Linked DNA regions of Drosophila melanogaster. The protein of the gene in region 2 interacts with the protein of the main gene of each other region in a pairwise test. Each region holds a gene or a part of one and is shown on either strand. Other genes may lie near its edges.

What was found.
Region 1: the proteins of PSMG1 (region 2) and CG43996 interact in a two-hybrid assay, tested with the Drosophila melanogaster proteins (one large-scale study listed by BioGRID).
Region 3: the proteins of PSMG1 (region 2) and CG12321 interact in a two-hybrid assay, tested with the Drosophila melanogaster proteins (one large-scale study listed by BioGRID).
Region 4: the proteins of PSMG1 (region 2) and CG15631 interact in a two-hybrid assay, tested with the Drosophila melanogaster proteins (one large-scale study listed by BioGRID).

The regions. Positions count from the first base shown.
Region 1 is NC_004354.4:17,020,457-17,023,870, reverse strand, and holds CG43996 (uncharacterized protein), read right to left. Parts: upstream 1,568-3,414; 5' UTR 1,548-1,567; coding exon 564-1,547; 3' UTR 501-563; downstream 1-500. Other genes in the region: CG43997 (uncharacterized protein), read right to left, coding at 1-345.
Region 2 is NT_033777.3:5,790,517-5,798,577, forward strand, and holds PSMG1 (proteasome assembly chaperone 1), read right to left. Parts: upstream 3,802-8,061; 5' UTR 3,707-3,801; coding exon 3,606-3,706; intron 3,553-3,605; coding exon 3,125-3,552; intron 3,061-3,124; coding exon 2,882-3,060; 3' UTR 2,807-2,881; downstream 1-2,806. Other genes in the region: Rpn5 (regulatory particle non-ATPase 5), read left to right, coding at 1-308, 368-524, 587-889; Hpf1 (histone PARylation factor 1), read left to right, coding at 1,457-2,806; CG10979 (uncharacterized protein), read left to right, coding at 4,369-4,524, 4,633-4,779, 4,862-5,324, 5,395-5,542, 5,913-7,878.
Region 3 is NT_033777.3:18,187,305-18,190,556, forward strand, and holds CG12321 (uncharacterized protein), read right to left. Parts: upstream 1,404-3,252; 5' UTR 1,302-1,403; coding exon 558-1,301; 3' UTR 521-557; downstream 1-520. Other genes in the region: Arp5 (Actin-related protein 5), read left to right, coding at 1-520; MED17 (mediator complex subunit 17), read left to right, coding at 1,826-1,914, 1,986-3,252.
Region 4 is NT_033779.5:4,729,235-4,738,140, reverse strand, and holds CG15631 (uncharacterized protein), read left to right. Parts: upstream 1-3,682; 5' UTR 3,683-3,714; coding exon 3,715-3,835; intron 3,836-3,886; coding exon 3,887-5,634; 3' UTR 5,635-5,728; downstream 5,729-8,906. Other genes in the region: fipi (factor of interpulse interval), read left to right, coding at 428-538, 641-778, 930-1,082, 1,801-2,292, 2,374-2,594.

The DNA.
Region 1 (3,414 bases), on a different chromosome or scaffold from region 2:
CAGCTGCATTTCCTCCTTTCCCTCCTTGACCAACATGGCCCACGAATCGGGAAACTTGTGGTGCGACTTGCGCTGTGAACGTGCCATATTCTTGCCCATGCGGTAATCTGGGTTCAAATCCAAGTCACTGGTGTCCAGTACCTCGTCCATGGCGTCCACATCTTGGCCTTTGCGACAGTTCGACTGGACCTCATAGTCCTGGTCCGTCATCTTTTCAAACATGTCCGATTCATCATCGTAGTCGTAGAAGGTCGGTTTCTTTGGTGGACGTCGTCCGTCCACTTGACAGCGCCCGAAAATCACAATGGAAATGTAGATTATCACCAGTAAAGCGACGGAAGTCATTTTCGATAAGTTGTCGGAGTGCTGACTATAGTCGGAATGAGTAAAAGCGGCTGAAACATTTGGCAGAAGAAGGGCTGGCGTACTTGGATTACACATTTCATATAGTATTAATATATTTTTTAAAAGTTGTGAACATATTTAAAGCAAGAGTACATACAAATGGTTTTATTCTTTATTGTAGGGTCTCTTTAAGTATTAATATTCATACAATATTTATTTTATAAATCCGGAGTTATCATTCTCATCACATTTCGCTCGATCTCATCCCGACTGTCCATGAGGCGACGCAATTTAGCATCGTAATCCTCGTATCGTTCTTGATTTTTTTCATCCGGCTGTAATTGCGATGAAGCCTGAAACTCCTCTGATGTTTCCGGTGAGGTCATCCAATATCTCGACTTTGATCCCGTGATGTCCTGGCCGCTGTTCAAAGTGGTTTGCAGCTGGACAGGACCATGGAAGAGTTGCAATAGAGGCGGAACCATCACTCGACGATCCTCAGTAAAAGCTTGTGGCTGGACCTCTTTGTTATCCACACTGTCCTCGAAATGGCAGTTGTCATCAGCACACAGCTCGGTTGCCTCATAGAAATCCGGCTTCTTGGACCATTTCAGACTAGGATGTTCCGTAGGCGTAGTGCCTTGGTTGTTGTTTCTGCATATGTTGTCATTTTTCGCTTTTGACAAGCGGGATTGAAGGATCTGCAGATTATCGGTTATGGCTTTGGTGTGCTTGTGCAGAGATCCCAACAAACAGTTAATTCTCGAAACAAAAGCTTCATCCTCAAAACTAATGTCGTCGTCCTCCTCTTCATAAGCCTCATCATCGCCATTGTCTTCATCACCATCATGGATATCATCGTCATCACTATTGCCCGCAGGATCGGCATTCTCGTCATCGTCCTCGTCCTTGACCATCTTCCTGTCAACCTTGCAGCGATCCTTCTTTTCATACTTCACATCATTCGGATTTTCGGCGGGACATATGCCCGATTGCGAGTCCATGTCGGTATTGACCTTCCACTGATCCCGATCTCGATCGAAATCGTCCTCCATGGCACCGCTTCGTTGCTTCTTTGGCTTTTCAAATATGGAGTTAAAGCCATCAAATGTGTCACCATCGTCAATATACTGTATCAGTTGAGTCAATTGAGTGTGTAGCAAAAGGATAAATATAATGATTATTTTAGTTAACCAGGCCATTTTATTTTGTTAGAGCGTAGCAAATGACATTTAATGCTTTTCGAAACATTTAAACATCAAACGATGATTCCTTGAATTTTAATTGTTTGCTTTTGATTCTCATAAACATTTTCGCTCAACCTCCGGAATGGAAATCTTACAAAACCAATGGATTCCTGTGGCTTTCCTTCCGGTATGTCATCGGTTTGCATTCCTGCGGCTTCTGGCGGCTTCATCTCCTGATGCTTTTCTCCAGCTTTTCCCTGATTTTCCCGCAGTTTCCTGCTGCCACTGACGTCAAGGATGCGGCACTGAAATGTTCACTTATTGCGGTTTTTGTTTCCATTCTTTTACCCCGCCTGTTGTTTACAACCTGCGCACGATTGCCCCAAAGGTGCGACCATGGGCGGGTTGGCATTGGGGGTTGGGAAATGTGGGTGGTGGTGGGTTGTGGATAAAAGGGGGGGGGGGGGTGGCGTCTAACGAATTCATCAGCGCTCACAAAAGATGAAGAAAAATGGTAAACTGAGGCCAAAAGATGGCCACGAGCGAAACACCTACGCAAGCGGAAGGGAAGTCACTCACCATCTCCCACAAAAAACCCCTACACCACGACATGCACTGGAAAAAATGAGGAAGGAAATACAAAAACTTATTTTGAGATTTTGAGATGGTTTATTATAAAAGTTTTTGATTGTCCTCATTCATTCAATCCTATATACTATAGGAAAACATGCATATTTTCTCAGATCTTGAAATGTTGGACAATTTTTTCTTAGTGCATAATCACACCATGCTGAGCGTCACCCTTGCGGAAGTTGCTAAAGGATGGAAAGGATGCCGGTGAGGATGGAAATAGAAATAGAAACGCAGCACAAGTGCTACAGACAAGTCCGATGATGAAGACGATGATGGTGCAGGTGATCCAGGTGCCTCAGGTGGGAGTGGGGATAGTTACGACTTATATGCATCACCGGAGGACGATGGGCGGGGCATGATGAGTACCGCTCTTGGAAAATGCATTTTCAGTGTCGCTTTCCTGCCGTGGGTGCAACAAGCTGTCCCATGAAAATGTCTTTATGCCCGAGCAAAATTGGAAAACATGCGTGCACTGAGGGAAATTCATCGATCGAACTTTTTATGGAAACTACAATTGCGATTAAGGCATCTTAAGTTTTGTTCAATTTGTTATATTACTGTATTTCATAAAAGGTTTTAACTACACCTTTTTCGTTAAGGCCTAAGATTATTAACATTTTACAATAAAAGCTCGTTATTTTACTATTTCTCTAGGTGTAGAGGTATGCTTAAACAGGTTTGCCCCTCAGTTATCATGTCCTCTTAGAGATTTGATTTAATTCCGCCGGCCCACTCTAGCATTTTGTAATTGCTCGACCAGGCGACTTCCCTGCAATTTGCAATTAAACTGCTGCAGTTGATGGCAGTCGTCGTTGGGGAGTCGATTCCATTTCCACAGGATATACAGCGAGCAGGAAAACGCACATCTGTGCGGGAAAAAGTTGGCCAGAGGGAGCTTTTTAGTTCAGTGACATTTAAACTTTAATTTAAAGTGGCAAGCCCTTTTACTCGCAATGGCAATTAGCAGTGAAAGGAGGGGAGAACTAAATGAGCTATTTCTAATTATGTGTTTCAGCGTTTGCCCCTTTTTAATGGAACATAATTTATTTTTCCTGTTACTTTGGGCCATACAAAGAACGAATAAAAATAATTATCAATTATTATTATGCGGCTTCAGTTGAGCGATTTTTAGGCGTTACCAAATGACGCATTTCAATTCAAAATTGTTTAAAAGCCATTTAGACTAATCTATACCACCATATTTCAGAAAAAAGTTTTTGTTATGAATAATTTGGTTAGTTTAAAGCAT
Region 2 (8,061 bases):
GCCATAGCGGAGCCTCCGCGCAAGAAGACTGGCCTTACACCCGTAGACTCTGCCGCGTCCACGGATGAGCAAAAAAAGAAGGATGACGATAAGAAAAAGAAGGAGGAAGATGACAAGGATAAGAAGCCAGAGGTTGCTACAGAGGCTGAGGTCGAAATTGAACTTACCGAGGAGCAGAAGAAGGAACTGACGGAAAAGCTGGTTTGTGCCGTGCTTTATTGCGTTTTAGCTCCCTTCGACAACGAACAGAGCGACATGATGGCACATCTTTCGAAGAACAAGAAGCTGGAGGAAGTGCCCGCCTATAAGTAAGTACATTTGATTTGAAGTACATTTCGAGCATGTTATTTTATTTTCGATTTAAAAGGGAAATTCTGCGCTTGTTCATGTCAAAGGAGCTGATCAACTTCGACACATTTAATGCAGACTTTGGGCTCGTGTTGGCTGAAAACGAGATGTTCAAGGATAGCACCAAGCATGGCAAGAAATGTATCACCGAGCTTAAGGATCGTCTGATAGAGCATGTAGGTTTTTTTTGATTTAAATCAATACTAATAATAACTAATTGCTACTGGTTATTTCATAGAACATTCGCATCATTGCCATGTATTACTCCCGCCTGCATTTGGCGCGCATGAGTGAGCTGCTGAACCTGCCCACCAGCCGCTGCGAGGAGTATCTTTCTAAACTGGCCAACACCGACACCATCCGCGTAAAGATCGACCGTCCCGCCGGCATCATTTACTTCACCCAAAAAAAGAGCGCCTCCGACATCCTGAACAACTGGGCCACCGACGTCAACCAGCTGATGTCCCTGGTCAACAAGACCTGCCACTTGATTAACAAGGAAGAGTGCGTCTACTCCGTCATGTGTGCTGTCGAGGATTAATCCTGTTCCATAGGTGCTTAGAATAGTGTTTCCCCCTTGAAGCGCCTATCCACACGCAACTGTAATTGTACTAACCCCTAACCATCAACATTTCGATTCTCTTCGTGAAGTTTGTATTCATTGAATGAACTACAATTATTAAATGAATCCCCCCATTAAATCTCCATGCAATTCAGTGCAGTTTTTGCCAGTCACTGGTGATTTCCGGCGGTATTTTACAACACTTTTGGGGGTGTGTGCAGAGTGCTTCTTCTTATCCAGGGAAGTCAACATGGGCGTAGATCTAAAAAAATGACTAAAATTGAATTTAAGTGTCCAATAAAAGTATACAAGTTTATGAAAAGTTTATTAGCTTTTCACCAAGGGGAAATGTCTGGGCTGTAGTATATAGTGTAGTATTTTCTATTACCCAGCTGTCATGGTAAAGTATTTTTCTCAAATGGGTCAGAATCATCCCCTTGCAACTTTTAACGGCGTCACTGGATGCTTGTTATTCTTGTTAATTGTGCCATAGCAAACCTCACATTTTGCAAATTTGTTTGAAATCGGTATTGTTGTTACTTAAGAATGCCAAAAGAAGATTGCAAATACTGGGATAAGTGCTATCAGCAGAATCCCGCACATTTGTCCAAATACAATCATCCGAAAAAGCAACAAGAACACGAAGTGGACGGCGCAGAAGGCAAAAAAGTGGCGCCAAAAAGAAGTGCATCCTCGCAGTCTGGTGAACAGAAAAAGGAAGAACAAACGGAGCCGGTGAACAAGGATAAGTCCAATACGAGTGCTTCAAGTACGGAGATGGTGAACAAGGATACAGCCAAGGGCAGTTATGAAGCCGAAACCGAGGAGCTTCACAAAGAGGCCATGAGCAACATATCCGGAAAGAACTACATGGAGATCTTGGAGAAGCGCATCCGCCTGTCCGTGCAGAAGGAGTACGACAATCTCTGCGAGTCCAACGAGTTCATTCGACACAAGTTCCTTGTCGAAATGCCGCCGGACTTCTACGAATTTTGGAAGTTTGTGGGAAGCTTAAAAATTGATCCTGCGAAGCCCAAGGATGCTGGCTTGGAGCACCTAGACAAAGTATTTCAACTGCAGTTGGTGGGTCCCTTTGAGTTCCTAGCCGGTAAATTTCACGGCGCCAAACTAGGCGAACCGGGAGACTACCTGCGCCACTGGCGTTTTTACTACGATCCACCAGAATTTCAGACGATCTTCGTGCGCCGAGGCACTGGGATTCACTACGGTTACTGGCGCGATGTGCCGCAGGACAAGGAAAATCTCTTAATAGCCCGCAACGACTCTGCGAAAGGCTGCCAGTTCCAATTCGTCGCTGGAAATGCCTTCGATGCTTTCCTCTACTACCTGGAGCACGATTTTGCGGCCACTCCGTTCTCATGCGGGCAGTTGGCGGGGACCAAAAAGGCGGTGGCAAAATACCTGAGTGACAATTCCCTAGAACTGGCCCAGCTGGACCGACTGCAGCGGGAGCGCAACAAGCGTGTTGTGGCCAAGACATTCCACCGAGCCGGCATTGTTGTGCCCTTTGACCAGAAGACAGAAGTGGGATACCGCCCGCTGGCTGTCAGCGATTCCGAACTCAAGAAGATGCTGGCAATGCTTGAGCGGAAGGACGTCGATAATGGAGCCGCCAAGCAGGCGGTTCTGGAGAAGCTGCAGCCGGTGGCCAACGCAGCCAACATAGCAGTTGATGAATCGGACTTTGGAAGCGCCCTGGAACTAGGCATCGATATGTTCTGCAGTGGGCACAAGGAGCTGCACATGCTTGCCTCATCGTTGCTGGTACCCGCCTATTCAATGCTTTCCCGTCCACAGTTCATAGCCATCGCCAAGGCGCACATGGAGCAACGTAGTCGGGAGGACAACCTCAGCATTTTTGATGTACTTAAGTAGTTCGATTTTTATTCCGCAACCGTATCATTTTTACAAGCATTAAAACTAGGAAGTTGAGCACAGCCAAAAGTAGTTTCACATGTACAAATAAGAGCTCTCCTTCCGCGGAGGGATGTAGCTCGAGCTGCAGGCAACGCCCGCGGCTTTAAGTACCTTGATCACTGGCTGCGCAGCTGTGGCGTCGAGGGGCAGCTTGTCGGTGTAAATAACGAAAGAGGTAACAGGCAATTCCATCTGATCCCGCCAACTGGCAACTGCAAAAAAAGGTGAACAGATGGTGAGGTGATTCAACCTTCTCCTTTTCCACTCATCACTCACCGCCTGCTGCAACTCCAGCGATAAAGTTGGGAGCCTCTAGTTCAGTGATATCCTTCTGGTTGGCACCTATGCCGCGGACAACGGCAATGTGATCCCGGTAGAGCTGGATGTCCTCGCTTTTGAACTCGACCTTTGGCTTAAGCGTCAGAGTGATCACTTTCTTGGCAAGCTTCACGTACGGCAGTAGGAGCTCCGCTACCTCGCCGCTACTGGTCAGGTCCTCGTTGATTATGGCCAGCAACTGTTTGGACGAATGACTCCAGTGCAGGGTCGAGTTATTGGCAGGAATGGCGCACACACGCTTTGCATCCTTTTCCAGCAGAGAAGAGGCGAAGTGAGTGACGTTGACGCCCTCAATGACCACCAGCATCTCGCTCTCCACAGGGGCAGCTTCCCCATCGCAATCATCATCAAACTTCAGCTGCAGCCTGCGAATCCAAGAAATTAGGACTACCTACGTAAATAACATTAGATCACGCACTTCTCCACCGGCTTAAGGTTCTCCAATTCATCCTCGTCGCAGTCGTCCCAGAAGGCACGCGACGAGGGTATATTTAGTTCTCCAAATCCTGGACAGCTCATCGTGTCTGTTTTGATTTAATAAAAAAGGTGAAACTAATATGATGAGCCTAATTCCGGTCACTATGTTTTTTTCAAGTCATCAGTGTGACCATGTGCTGAACGCCAAAATAAACGTTTTTCTATTTGAATAAATTACATTTGCAGGTAATATTTAGGAACTTTTAGCGCTTTTTCTGAACTTATTAGGGCTTGGCATGTCAATTAAAGATTTAACAATAAGCTAATTCCAAAATTATGTATTGACAATATTGTTTGGGGGTTTTGAGAATTGATGGAAGTTACGCCCACTGAGCAAGGGAGAAATCAAACTTCAATTGTTAGTTCTAGTCGAATATTAAAACAAATGTGGTTCCAGCTTATTGGTTTTGCCTGATTAAATATTTTCGACTCTTCCGTTTTTTTTTAAGTTGAAACAAAAAATTCCGCACAGGTTAATAAAAATACCAGATCAGCATCGCAGCAGAAGCAGCGCTCAAGCACGGTCATACTGAATACAAAAAATGCAAGATGCAGGTCCATATTCGAATTGGAAAACCACTTTGATCGCTAATTAGAAACAGATTAAGAACCTCACGTCGGTGAAAATATTCCGTAGGGCAGCGCGCTAGGACAGGTCTCAAATTTTTTGGTTAGCAGTGGGAGCAAGCGCGCAAACCAGCGCCATGAGAAAGCGAAGCTCACGTTGTAACTCTGACACTTTCAAGGAGGAGCAGATGGACCACAACGGTGACGACATCAGCCTGCTGCAGCGGCCGCTGCGCACCGCCCACACGGGATTCGAGGAGGCCCGTCGGGCCTATGAGGATGGCACCAGCGAGGTGAGTCTCATCTGAGTGGAGTACGTGACTCAATTGTGGCCCGCAATGGCGGAGGCTCCTGCGCCCCAGTTTGGTGGATCCCCGGATAACAATCAGATTCTCCCACAGGTGCGCCAGCTGCTCAGTCTGGAGTGCAGCCTGATCTACGAGTGCAAGGTGTGCCGCAACATGTTTCGCAGCCTGGCCAATTTCATCAGCCACAAACGCGTCTTTTGCTGCGTCAGCGCTCGTTCGGCAAATGGCAGCGGATACACAGTGAGTGGGCAGTAAAGACAACCCCATTACAAGGTCTCTAATACCATAGGATGTCAACTAATCGCTGTTAATTCTCCCCCAGGATCAGAATTCCACTATGATCATACAAACGGGTGGTGGTCCGTCCCCGCAGGACATTGAACATATGCTACGCAGCAGAAGCACGGGATGCTCGCCTGTTCCCCGCGACGTGCGTCCCTTACGAGGAGGAGGTGGCGGCGGCATAAGGGACCTGAGTGGTGTTATAGAGCGTCTGCGACGGGAAAAGGCTACATCACAGGCCAAGTGCAGCTCGCCCACTGTTCTGCAGCTGGAGTCTGTGCCCAACTCTAGCCAGGCTGTTTATCAGACCATCAAAGTGGACCACGACGACAGCATAAGGACAGAACTGGACGAGGTGCATCGCATGCTTAATCCATCTGAAACCATTGTGGGACCCGACGGCAAGGCCTTGGCAACCGTTAAGCTGGAAAACAATGCAGGCAGCGACTCCGGCGAGCAGTCCATCAGCGACGAAACGGAGCCGAGTATTTTCTGCGAGATCTGTACGACTACCTAACCGAATAGGCCTTGAATACAATTAGTGATAGCTGTGTTTCCTAATCTCGTTCACAGGCAATCTGACGTTTCAGACGCACAAAACGCTTGAGGTGCACATTCAGAAGCATCACTCATCATCGGCGTTTGTGTTTCAGTGCCCAGCCTGTTCGCTGACCTTTCTGCAGGCCGCTGCTGTTATTCGTCATTTGTCGAAGGATCACAAGTAAGTTCAACTTAACCCGACCATAGAATTTTTATATTTTATTATTATAAAATATATGATATTATTCTACTTCAAGGGGACAGGTTCCTTTTTTCTTTCACATGGTCCATTTATATCTGCTTACTGCATACTGCATTCCTTATACATATATGTATATGTCAAAAATCATATTGTTTCCAAGGAAACAATCTAATTTACTTTCTATTTATGTGAATTTTTTAAGCCCTGAATCATAAAAACAGAACAACTAATAATCATAAATAAAAATATAACAGATACATTTTTATAGGGATAGTGGTTTTTCTAAAAATTATACATGCAATGTGTGAACTAATATTAATGTTGGTCCTTTTGCAATTTAATTTTTCAGGAAGCCAACTCGACGTATTCGAATGATGCGGAACACTATCCTCAAGCGACGCATTCAGCAAGGAGATGTGCAGCCGAAGGGCCCCTGCCGGGAGTTGAAGCGCCTACAGCTCTCCGACGACGTGGTGGGCTATGTCCCTGAGCCACTAGATGCCAGCGGTGAGCACCGTAAGATCATGTCTTTGTGTATCTATTGCGAAAAATCATTCGAGCGTCGCGCTGCCTTGTCAACACACCTGCTTAATTGTCGGGCGAAGCAGGAGGCGCTGGCTAAGCCTGCTCCTTCTGTCAAAAAACTGAAGATGAAGAGCAATGATTCCAGTGTGGATGCAGCTGATGAGGATCCAACGACGTCCATAGACCTGCCGAAAAAAAAACCGATCAAAACCGAGGAAATTACTCTGAATGAGATGTTTGCCGATCTACCAGAGCCGAACGACTCATTTGCACCTGGTCTGCACACAGTGTCATTGGACCAGCTTAACTTAGGCAATGTAAGTGACTCTGCTAGTGACGAAGCCTCTAACACCGACGACGAGCACGAGCTAACACCAGGGGCCGGACCTGAATCCAATGCCGATGCAGAAGATGTCAAGGGTAAGGCCAAGAAGAAACGTAACGTCCCAGTTGAGAAGCAGCTGCGATGTCGCTGTAAGATCTGTCACAAGCAGTTCAATGCCCTCGGGAACCTACGTCGTCACATATCCATGTTTCATTACCGCGCACGCCGTTTTGGCTGTAACCTGTGTGAATATCGCGCATTTAGGCGCTACGATATTGTAAATCATTTGGGATTTACTCATAAGATAGAAGGAGACCGAGACCAGCTGACGGAGCAATATGTGTCCACCCACGAGTGCGAGTACTCTCGAGACGATGTCGACGGAGATATAATTTTGCTGGATAAGGAGGAGGAGCTTACAGTGATGGAGAAGGATGCTAAACCCCCTATCAAAACCTACGAAAGACGCTTGAAGCATCTCAAAACCCTAACAGAATCTGTAGGTGAAGTGCAACCCAAATCTCCAACAGCCGCGATAAAAGAAGAACCCGGACAGGAGCCTCTGGAGGGTACTCCCACGCCCAGCAAAAAGCGTCGCAAGTCTCGTACCCAAATCTCACCCGAATCTGGAGAACATTCCCAGGAGAAGCGTCCCATCCGTAAGCGAGTTAAAGCGGTTAACAAGGACTTCGTCTACGACTTGGTCAGTTTCAAACCGGATGGATCATGCCAGCAACCTCCGGGTGCGCAAGCCGTAGAATCCATGCGGGCCAAACTGCGTCGTCCCGCGCCGGTGGGCAACGATGAAAGTAAGGCCAAACAGTACGAAGCATACATTACGGAAGAGAAAAAGCATCTTGTGTTCGGCATCACACGGCGCATAATGCTGGAACTGGTGAGCCAGGGTCTGGCGGTGTCTGCTACTCTGCCAGAATTGCCCTCAGAGCGACCGCAGATACGACCGCGTCTTATCTCGCACTCGCGCAGCGAAAGCGGATCGCAGCAAAAGCAAAATATTGTAGAAACTACAGTGGATCCTGCTCCGGAAACCGAGAGTTTCATCGAGAAGATTGCGAAGCGAACGGCAGCTGCTGGCAAGGATAACGCTGTCATCAGCAACCTGTGGAACAAGGTCAACACTGCGATTGCCCAGCAGGAGAAGCAGCAGAAGAAGGAACAGGAGCCGCTTCAAGAGGCTCAGCCAGAGGAAAAGTCGGAAACAGAAAAATCAAAGAGCCCTCTGCAAGCGCCATCGCCACCGTCACCGCCCAGCATATGCGAAGCCACCGTTCCCGAAACGCTGGCGACCACTGGTATGGATTGCCTGCGAGGAAAGGGCAGTCAAGCGGGAGCTTCGACAGTGTTTCCGTCCCTGCCCAAGCCGCCATCCGTTTTGCAGGCGGCTGCCAATGGGACCATACAGTTCACTCTGGACAGTCTTCTACGAGCCGCTCTGCAGAACTAAACGGAACCGGAAATGGAAGTCACCGCCACCATCATCGTTTCTACTTTCACAGCTTTCGGTTGTCTTTCCTACTGGATTTTTACTCAAACTTTCAGCTGGTCGCATTCGCATCAACCGTTTTGAATGTAATTCACTAGTGTCCTTATTGTAAAACCAACTAAGCAAGAAACAGAATCCCTAAAT
Region 3 (3,252 bases), about 12 Mb from region 2:
TAACGAAAAGTTGATGCAGTTCGATAAGATCCTAAATCACTATGATGCCAACACCGATGGCAACTCCAATGTTCCGCCACAGAGTGCCGCCGAGAACTACCAGCTGCACTTTGGGGTTGAGAACATTCGCGTGCCGGAGGTTCTATTCCAGCCCAGCATGATTGGTTGCTCAGAGGCGGGGCTAGCAGAACTAATAGCATTCGTGCTGAAGCTATTTCCCGCCGCTGAGCAGCAGCGCCTGGTTGAGCACGTGTACCTAACCGGCGGTTGTGCCCAATTCAAGGGTCTCAAGGAGCGACTAATCAAGGAGCTCATGGAAATGCGACCGTTTCAATCAAAGTTCGCCATCTACGAGTCGGATGAGCCAACTTTAAGCGCCTGGCTGGGAGCATGTGTGCACGCAGGAGAGCCCACCTTCGGTCAGACGCTGACCACGCGTCAGGACCACCAGGAGCATGGCAGAGAGTTCTTTCGGGAGCACACAGCTAGCAATATCTTTTATCCTACACCAAAAGATTAACATTTATTTGAAAGCACCGAAAAATACATGTAGACGCTTAAAAAAGAAGTTCCGTAACATCATTGCCGAATAGTAGGTTCCAGGACTTGGGCACGGTGAGCTTAAAACTGCCATCGCCTCCGTTGCGCAGCTGAAGGAAGTCTTCGCAGAGTTCGTTCAGTTCCCGGACGATTAGAGATGCATCGGTGGAGTTGTCGCCCTCGAGGAGATAGCGGAATAACAGCATGACGGGCACCTTCTGCTCATCGAAGGCTTTAAACAACTGCAAGGCATTGCCGCCGCCATAGATGGCATCGCCCTTGTGCTCCTTCCACTTGATCAGCTCCTCATTGCCCAGCTGGGCAGCATGCGCTTCCTTGAAGTTTTCGCTGGCGCGGTATGCCCATGGCGACTCCTCAATGACTCGTTTCTCGAAGCCGAAACTGCCGCTTAGAATGACTACGCGTCTGGCGCCCTTGAGGAGCTCCACTAGTTCCTTCTGAAAATGCGCGGTGTGGCGGGCAACCCATGGCGCCCGGAATTGCACGACCAGTAGCTTATCCTCCGTACCCTCGTACAGTTCGCAGGAGGAGACCTTCTCTTTGGGCTCGTGCTGATAGGCGGAGGGTCCGTAGACCGGAATCAGGGCTGGATGTGTGATGGATCCAATTCGCCGGAGTTCCTTGGACGCAATCAACAGGTCACAGGCCAGCTGCGCCGCGTTTCCCACGCAAATGCTCGGTATGATTACTGTGTGCTCTGCTACGTCCAGAGTGGTACGCTTGTCCTTTAGAAACAGCATAATTGGGTTAAATCTCTTGGTGTCCGGAATGAGTTGAAGATGCTAATTCAAGTCAAGTCAAAAATATGAAAGTAATGATTCCAGTGTTGGTGTGTTTACCAATTGACACTGGGTGGCAACTCTGGCAAGGAGCTTAATAAAAGTGCGGTTCAAAAATCAAAAGAGATAACTTCGTTGTTTAAGGTAAACAAATTTTATTTACATTTAAGGACATTTTTTTGACTGCTGCCTACTTATACTTCGCATATAAATGAATATAAGCACGTGGCCAAGCCATTAAATTTCAAAGTTTTGTCTTAAATAAATAAAACTTAATTTAAAGCAAGAAAGTAATTTTATAACACATATTAATTAAATATTAAACATTTTTAAATATCAATATTTTATACATTACATTCGTTACTAACCTGGAAAAAAGTGTTGTTTTTGAGCACTCATTTATCGATAGCCGGCCGCAGACGTTTTGCAGCACTATTCTTTAGTTTTGCTTTGACAAACCAAATGTTTTGTTTCCCGGCGCAAATATGTCGAATTCCGTGAATATATCAGTGGAAACGACTTGCGAGAACCAGATACGTGAGATTGGCTACGATGGCACCGAATTGTATCAGCCGTATGTGTTTCCGCTAGCCAGCAAGCCCTCTTCTCAATGATTTATTGGGTTCTTTGTTTTTTTCTCCTTAGGCCGCCGACTTTGTCGGAAAGTCTGGCGAAATGTGCGGCGCGCATAGACTTCAGCAAGACGTCGCTGGACGACCTCAAGAAGGAGGAGAAGTCGGCGGCAGCGGCCGCCGACGAGGACAAGGACGCCACTCAGTTCCAAGAGAGCCTGTGGCCCTGGGATGCGGTGCGCAACAAGCTGAAGGATGCGCTCACGGAGATATGTGTGCTGTCCGATGTGATCTCCATTGCCAAGGACAAGCGCTATTTAGTGCTCGATCCACTGCTCGAGGAGGCTGACGACACCAAGCCCATTGTGCAGGTGTACAGCCGCAAGAAAGCCATCTCTCAGGCAGCCCAAGTGCTCCTAAGTGGCGCTGAACGCCTGCGGAACGCGCACAGCGAGCAGCGCAATCGCAATGTCTCAGATTTCCACATAGAACTACTGCGCCTGCGACAGAACTGGCGCCTGAAGAAGGTGTCCAATGCGATTATCGGGGATCTCAGCTACCGCACCGCGGGCTCCAAGTTTGGCATGAGCGGTACCTTCGAGGTGACCAAAGCAGAAGAGACCGGTGATGAGGACACAGCCAGCTCATCCAACAGTAGCAGTAGCGTATCCGGCAACAATGGCATGCAACTTAAGGCCAGCTCCGCATTGCGAGTGATTGTTCCAGCGGAACTGCAGGGTGTCGCCTACATAAAGGTGATCACACAGAAGGATCAGGAGGATTTGTGCACCGCTCAGCTGAATCTGATGGGTCACGGACCCAATATAACTGCCCAGGTGGGTGTCTGGCAGAAGACACTGGAGTTCGCCCAGAATGTGCTCTTCTGCAAGGAGCTATTCGCTCAGTTGGCACGTGAAGCTATCCAATTGCAGGCACCAATTCCACATGTGGTCATCGGCAACCAAATTCGCGCCACTCTGCTGCCTAACATTCAACTTATTATCTCGTTGTGCCACTCAACCACCTTCGATTCCAGCCAGCCGGCGCCAATTAACGATCATGATCATGTTCTGGAACACTCGCTGCATCAGCTTCTGCGCGAGGTGCACTACAAGAACTCACACCATCCCTTTCCCCATCCGGCCAGTGCACCACTGGGACCCACTAAGAAGCGCATGCTAGCCGGTCCGATGGCCGCCGATCGGGAAACGTTGTTGGACATGACCAAGTCACAGACCATACTCGAACAGATCATCGCCCAGGCGCAGCACATTTTCATGCGAAAGCGAACACAATATGTGCTCGATACGCTGGCCAGGGATGTGAAGGACCCGCAGATA
Region 4 (8,906 bases), on a different chromosome or scaffold from region 2:
AGGGTTCAGGGGGTTGTTCAGTGTATACAAGGCCACTGGCACAACAAACGCAATTAAATGCAATTCTCTGCACATTCTTTGTAACCGAGTGCTCAGTACTAGCCACATTAATGGAATATTTCCTTGGAATGCCCAAGTCATTTAAATTTCAGCAATAACTACCAATTCAAAAGAGTACTTTACTTACTTAGGAAGCATATAGTAACATTCAAATAACATATCTTAATGGATTCAATATTTACATACACATAAGATTTATTTACATCACAGCGGTATCAGATAGTCCGCACATTTGGCCCCATTTTATATATCGCTTTGTTTTGCGAACTCCGTTTAAACTTTTTCCTATGTATTCCTTACTCAATTTCCCATTTTCCATTTTCTCTGCCCACTCCGTTGCGTTTCGCCGTTTATTTTCCGAGCTCAGAACAATTGAAAATCGTTTTCGCCCACATCGCACTGGCCGACAAGGGCAATTGGAGCTGCGAAGCTGCTGATGGAAGTCTGCATAGTAAATCCTTCGATTTGATTGTGTACCGTAAGTGGTGGAGTCGCTGGCGGGCATGAGGTCAGTCATTAATATTGCATTGTTTTCCCTCCTCGCACACACACACACACACACACACACACGCACGCACAGAGAAAATTACATTCACGGAAAATGCCACCGTGATGACGGTCAAGGAGGGCGAGAAGGCCACCATCCTGTGCGAGGTGAAGGGCGAGCCCCAGCCGAATGTCACCTGGCACTTCAATGGACAGCCCATCAGTGCCGGCGGTAAGAATACCATCCCCCCACCTCCCTCGATAATGAGCATTTTGCATTCCAATCTGCTCCACCACCATCACCATCAGCCAACTGGCAAATGCCGAACCCGACTGCCACTACATATCTGCCCTTTTCCACCTTCTCCATTCCGCGTGTGCAGCGGCCGACGACTCCAAGTTCCGCATCCTGGCCGATGGTTTGCTCATCAACAAGGTAACACAGAATGACACCGGCGAGTACGCGTGCCGGGCATACCAAGTCAACTCGATTGCTTCCGATATGCAGGAGCGCACCGTTTTGATGAAAATCGAACGTGAGTATGATTTACGATTTCCAAAACGTAGAAAACTGATCCACAGTGGGAACCTACTTTGAAATTTGGGTTGCCAAGTCGTGATTATTTAAAAAAAAGCCCTTCCATTTTACTAGTGTGTACAATTTCCTTGAATAATACATTGTAAATTATATCAAACTTAAAGTTGAGCATAACATTTTTGATCCTACCAAGTCCCAGTGTGCAAAGTGGTGGGGTAAACAGTCGAAATTACTTGAGCACCGTTTTGTTCCAAATTTCGAGTTGGCGCTTAGTATGCAGCGCAGTGAGCGGTAAATAGTTTTTGAGCACGAAAAATTCTGGAATTACACTCGCGGCATGCCTTTGATGCTTTTGATGGATCCCAATGTCGACCGGTGTTCCTGATGTGTGGCCAGTGGGCGTACGAGTGCCAGTGCGAGTGGGCGTGGCGCACATGCAGCTAATGGCTTAACTTGGCCGGGTCCTGATTTATGGTTAGCGCACATGGTTTTTCCATTTCCATGGCCTACCTTTAAGCGCTGCCGCGGTTTCAGCTGTCTCCTGCGGCGCTATGCATGCTCATTTCGATTTTAGGCACTTTTAATTGCCTTAAAATGGGAGATAGAACAGAAATCTTCATCAATTTTTTTTTGCTTAAATATTTCGAAACAGTCCCTATTCCTTTTTAAATACTTTAGTTTTTTTTATATCATCCTTGATATTTTCCCCTGTGCAGACAAGCCCATTTGGTCCAAGACTCCATTTGTTAGTCTAAAGTACGCCTACATAAACGGAACTGCGACTCTTATGTGCGAGGCACTGGCGGAACCTCCAGCGAATTTTACATGGTATCGCAAACACAACAAGCTGCACAGCAACAACAGACTGTACACGATCCAGTCGGACAGCTACTGGTCGAGTCTGACCATCCATGTGCTGAACACCAGCGCCTTCGATAACTACAGGTGTCGCGCCAGGAACGATCTGGGCACCATCGAGAGGACCACGCGACTGGAGCAGGGCGAGAAGCCTCCGTCACCGGCCAACTTCCAGCTGCGTGGCTTCAATTCAAACACCTTCGATGTGGTACTGAGTGCTCCACGAGGTCCTCCCGACAGTCCCATGGGGGTCAATGGATTCCGCATCGAGTACATGACCGAAATGGAGTTCAAGACGGATGCGGGCAAGTGGACCAATGCCAGGCGGAAGGATTATGCTTTCGAGGAGGGTGAGTTAAGCTTTAAAATATAGATAAAAGCTATCTCTTGCTACATTCGATATGTAAACTCATGGATTCTATAAATTTTAGGGGCTACCTTCCTTCTGACGAACTTAGAGCCAGATACCGTTTACCTGGTGCGGGCCGCATCACGGAATCTGGCCGGATTCAGTGACTTCACCAAGGTGGAGAAGTACAAGACACTTTCGCTGGAGCCCCGAGTCTCTTCGGGAGTCAAGGAGACCAGAAATATGTGCGTGGAACTGGGTGTGATGACACTAATGGTCCTGATGCGGCCGTTCCTGGGATGAATCTGAATCTGCAGGCGGATGAAGGATGACAGGTGATGCACCTAGCGGAACCGGAAACCAGGACCTTAAACCCCATGTGCTTTGTATAGCTATAAGGCGTGTCCACACGGCGACACTTTTCTGTCTGATTTGCTCGGTCTAAGTAATTTGGTTTACTCTTAAGTTCAGTGCGTTAATGTAACCTTAAAGAATGTTAAGTTTAGTAAGAATTTCTATTACGCTTTCAGTGCTTCGATTTGAATGATATTAGTGGATCACTTATAGGATATTTATATGTATTTAAACAAATCCTCATAGCAGTTAGACATAATCAATGGTTTGCTGGCCTTGGCTCCCCAAAATTATGCAAAACTAAAGCTTTGCTCAACATTCCAGTATATATTTTAACGTGAATTGGAAGTTTTCCCTGCAACTTTGCATCTCGTTGCCAAATCTTTAAGATATAATCAGACAGTTGCCAAAACTAAAAAAGTACATTAGTTTAGTATATACAAACAAATGCCTTCCGTCATTCGATATAACTAACAATCTTTTCAACTAAACTACATAAATATATAAAGTTTTGGAATACCATTAAACGCATCAAACAATTAATATAAATATCAAGGAGCTTAACGACAGCATTTAAAAGTTTTATATGTCACATAATTCTTTTTAATAGTCAAAGGCCAATAAAAACAATTCCACGTGTAAATTTCCAGGGCTAAAAAATACAGAATAAAATATAGATGTAAAAATAAGTTTAAACACTTTGCCACAATACAAATATTATGCAAACGAGAGAAAAACAAACACATATTTTACAAAAGTTATTTATATTCAATAAAATTAAATGTATTTCAGCTAAAGTGGTGTAAAATCTAAACCATAATACCTAGCCAAAGATTTAATATTTTCCAACTTTCGTTTGCCAATTGTGTGTGAGCCATAATAAAAGTTATGAATATCAAACCAGAACCGTTTGTGCTTCGATTTATTGATGTATAAATCAGTAAGTAAATAGAATATAAATATTTTAGTAAAAAAAATGCCTATTAGTTGGCGTAGCTTTTAGTGTTAATTTCTAATATTCGGCTCAAAAATTATATACAAAAAGTACAAAGCATAAAAATGTTGCAAGATGGAAAAACGAGCTCATTATTTTAGTCAGAACTCGAACCAGCCGCTAAATGCAGACTTTAATTTAGAAGATCAAATTATGAGGAATTCACAAAAAATATATAGGTTTAGCTCAGATCCGGGTGAGTAAAGCTTGCTAATAATGAATACATAAAATTAAAATTTTTATTTAGAATACAATAGAGTATATCAGCGGTATATGGCAACCCTCATCCGTGTGCAAAATTCCATGCATAGAAGATTTCAATCCAGGACCACTCTAAAATTGCAGGGCTCACATAGCCGCCTCTCAGCTGGCGGATTCTGTACGAAATTCAATAAATCCGGAAAGGAGAAAAAAAATAAACACAACCAAAGCCACGACCAGCAAAATGATACCTGTAAGCCTTCTTGCTCGAAGCCAACTGATTGCGCCACAAATGATGAACCTTCCTGCCGGGGCAATAAAAGTGCATCCGATAAAAGCCTGAAAATCACCCGCTGTTCCATACCGGAACCCAATAAGTCCCCACGCAGCGATGGACACGAGAACCAGCGTCAGAGCTGTGTGTCCTTTGAAGAGCCCGCGGCCAAGGATATTCCCACATTTGATCTGCACTTCCGGGACACCTCATGTACGGTGTCCCATGATTCCAGCCTGTCCTCCATCAACGTTTGCTATAGCCAAGAGCAACAGAGGGATATTACAAAATCTTGTCCCGCTCAAACGCCGAAAGAGCCAGCCCCTCAACGGATGAAGGAGTCGTCCAGGAATCAAACAGCTTCACGATTTTGCATGAGACCGTTGATTGTGGTGCCCACAGGTGGAGGAATTAAACAATTAAAGAAGGATCAATCTGAGAATTCCAAAATAGTTAGCACAGATCACTCCAAGTCGAAGTCTGCACACCACACGAATAGTTCTCGAAAATCCACAAAGAAGCAAGCAAAGAGTCACCGCCTTATTAAGTCTCACAGCTCTAAAGATTCTTTAGCAAATCGTGGTCAGCCTACAGTGGAAATTGAAGAAACTTTTCCAAATTCAATCTGCACTTCCGATACCCACGAATCCTGTGACTGCAAGAGCGAAGACCAATTTTGCTGTTACTATATACCAGAGGAGCCCCATTGCTCGCAGAATCCACCGCCATGTTCCAACTGCCCGGCTATATGCGACTTATCCAACCAATTGGAGGAGATGAATCGACGTTTGGAGGGCCTTCACAGCCAGGAACTCTGCGATATCCGCACGCAGGTGAATAGCCTCAATGCCAATGTTCAGCATTTGGCCAAAGAGTGCATTCAGAAAATGGATGGCGCCAAAAGGCTGGACAAGAAGACCTCGAGCACCTGTCAGTTCTGTCATGGGCAGTGTTTGAAAATACTTGATAGCTTCTATAGGCAACTGCTGGACTCACTTTGGGATCGTTCCCTGACAGACATAGTAATATCCATATTTCTGCGAGCAGACAATGTCTATCACGTAAATGTGCGGGATCTGAGCTCGGACTGTTCCCTTGGTTGTTACCTGGTCACTGATGCGGCCATAGAGGAGGCCATCGAGTTGGGAGTTTTTCAGAACATACTCACATTTAGTGTAATTGATGTGCGGAATACCATCAAGTCGAAGAACTGCGACTTGGGCATCGTCTTTGAATACCATCATTCAAAGCGGCAGACCGGTGGTTGCGATTCTCCACTTCGTGGCTCCTGCATGGTGGGCAAGGAATATATCGGCAGGGTTCTCGGACTTCCTTTGGAGCAGCTGAAATACCTGTACTCCGTTCCGCGATCCTATACCAAAATCACTGAGCACGACACTAGGAGTGTAACTGGAAGTCAGTTACACTCAGTTTCCACTCAAACGACTTTGATGGATATGCAGACAGAAATGAAGATAAGATATAAGAAAAGTGCCCGTACAAAACTACCATCAGTTTGAAAGATATCAGTTTTAATAATATATAGCAAAAGTTATAGTTAAGCCAACTTACAACGTATTTCTAAAATTTTGTAATAAAAGACCTTATAATTTTAAAAGCCAGCATAGATCAAAGGAAATTCTGATTAGTTTCAATAAAGCTAACCGTACAGGTTGCACTGCCATTTGCACAACCGACGGACCGCATGGCAAATGGTTCATTTGTTCAACGGGCGCGGTTTGTCAATCAGCCACATCAACTGGGGCTCAACTAAGGACCCGCATATGCGCTTTTGGCCGGAATGCCTTTTTGGGGGGGCTTTTTGGGGCAAGGAATAGGAGCACTGCGTTGACAGCCGCATAAATCAGTTGAATGCCAAACGTCGGATTCGGATGCAGATGCGGATGCTGTTGCGTATGCGGATATGCATTGCGACTGGGCGCCATATTGTGCGTGGTGACTTTTATTGCCCGACCGCGCGTTAAATATTTTTCTGTCTACACACATGGACATGGATGCTCCGCTCATCATTGACATTTACCATTGGCCATCGTCATTCGCATCACAATGAGCAGCAATGAGCGTGGCCGTTATTTGGGTGCGGTTCAAAACAATCAGCCCGGCTATTTAATTTCCAAATGAGAGGAGCATTATTCGGCACAGCATGAGTTCAAATCACTTGCCCCATGTGCCCGCCAGCTTTCAATATCAACACTTTAAGTCAACGATTTGAGCGACGACAGCTGAATCAGCAGCGAAGAGAAGAGGACAAATAAATACTGCGAAAAAAAATGCAGAATTCGGCCATTTTAGGCCTGCAACCGCCAATCCGCCAATTCACCAATCCACCGGCAAGTGGGTCAGTTTCGCACGGGCTTTTAGAGCAAATCAACGCGAAATCCGCTCCAGGTCATATGCCACCCGACTCGATGGGGGGGGGGCGAGACCATTCGTGCAATGCAATTTCCATGTCAGCGAAGAGTTTTACCCCTTTTTTTTTCGCCCACATATCTGTTTCCTTTCATTCGGCTTATCGAAAGTTTAGCATTCGGCATTTTTCACTGCAGGCATGAGAGTCAGGCTTTCAATTAAAATCCAAAGCTGTATTTTTACGGGAGCAGATTTAAAATGTTGTGGCTATTGGCCAAACGTTATTTGTCTGTTTATTCACATCACATGTCTTAAGCTGACAATATAAATCCCTTTTCTTACCAAGTAATCAGCATTAACTAAGGAACACACAGCCGTTGGCGATACGAAGTCTTAACAACATTTACCTAGCCATAAATACACACTTAACACGTTTTGTAGACGAGCTGACTTGCATCATTAGGAATTCCATCAGTGCTTCATTATTATCCCCCTTTCCTTTGCCACCAACACAATGTTCCACATTTTCTCCACTTGGTTTTCCTGCGATTTTCCGCTCGTTTGAAGCTGCTTGGCCACGGGGCGGATGCGGATGTCGGTGCGGATATGGGTGCGGATGTGAATGCTTTTGCAACGACCGCACGCCGTGTCAATAAATGAGCGCAAAGCATTAAATTGTAATTTTTTAATTACACACAAAAGATTTAATGACTGCGGTGGTAATAACACACAACAGACGTTGCCACGCCCCCCGGCTGCCCTTGTTACAGCCCTTAATTACATAAAGCCCAGCTAAGAAGACGACTATCCACAGACGGAGATAATAGGAAAATGGCGAAAATTAAATTGTTCTTCTGTGCTCGCCAAGTGGCCAATTAAAGCGAACGGCAAAGAGCAAAATGTCCGGATTTCTTTGCCTCGCCAAGCTGAAGCAACTGGACCTCCAGGGGGTTATGTCCTTTTTCGCACAGATCCTTTTTGCTCCGAGATTTGCGCCCGAGTAGCTGTCTCAGCCTCCACCCCCGCGCCGTTTGCTTAGCAATAAAAATCATTTCCCGCGTTCTAATGATGCCACTGAACAACCAAGGCGGCCAACTAAATTAGCGCCGTCGGCCTTTCAACAGTCGAGAGATACATATATAAATATATACGAGTATATCTGGACATACAGCGCTTCGCTTCGGTTGGAGTCGTAAATAAAAGTTGGTCCACAAACCAACCAACTAATATGCCAGAGTTTGGCGGGGCCACAAATCTTGTGCAAAGTAAATGCATCGGTACTGTTGCCCCCCCTTTTTACACCCCTTTGCCCATTTTCTGCTGGTTTCACTTGCTGTTGCTGAATGTTTTCGTGTGTTTGCTGTTTGTTGCCAACACACTAATTACCGCAATTAATTATGCTGCCTGCGGAGCCAAGTCCGTCCAGCAAAAAGGACCAGCAAAACAGGACCAGCAGCCGGATCAGGATTTGGACCAGGAAAAAAAGGGGAGAGAGCAAAACCAGTACAATTCCCCAATTGTTGGCCCACTTTTTGGCTGCAACTTTAACCCGTGTTTCGGCCTTTTCGTGTGCGGTTTCTAAGCGGTTTTAGCCTTTGTCTCAAAGCGCATATCAAATGATATTGGCCAAATTCACAGGGAATCGCAGAGGAGCAATTTAAATCGTTTAGCCAAACGATAATGATAGCATGTGTTGCTTGTGTTTCAGTAAAAAGCAATTAAACGTTAACAGCTTATTATATTAAAGCCCTTTATGGCAATCTACTTCAGGCGAGTGAGTGAGGTTTAAATAAACATGTTAAATTGTTTCAAAAAGAGGCTGAGGCTGCTACCATGTCTAAATAGGCTTGGTTCCAGCTTAAAATCTATGAAATTTAATAGATGGTTAAATTCTAGTAACTGCAGGGTGTTTTCAAACTATCAGGTACTGAAATAAAACGTCCATTTGCTGAATGCCGAATCACCGAGCGACCATTAAGCAAATCAAAAAATGTCACACAGAAACAATTTCGCAGTGCTCGAGCAAATGGCAAAACATGTTTGAAAATTGAAAATTATGTTTGAAATGCACTCAGCAACAGATGGAGTCTCATAGGTTGGATGAATAAGGATTCGCAGGAGTTGGCAGGACGAGCAGAAGGAGCTGCAGAAACTCCACATTTGTGCCACGTTTGTTTCTGTCAACGCAATGAAGTGCAACATTTTGTATACTGCACACATACTGCGTGTTTTTCTGTGTGTGTTTGTGTGTGTGCCAGTTGGTTTATGCGAATGTTGTGGCAGCACACACACTAAACTATACATATTACAATGTTACATACATAAGCAAGCAAGCAAGCACCTTTGGCAGCAAACTGAAGCCAGCCACTTCATATTGTAAATTTGGTAGAAAATATTTTTAGTGTCGCCAGGATTTCCTGTT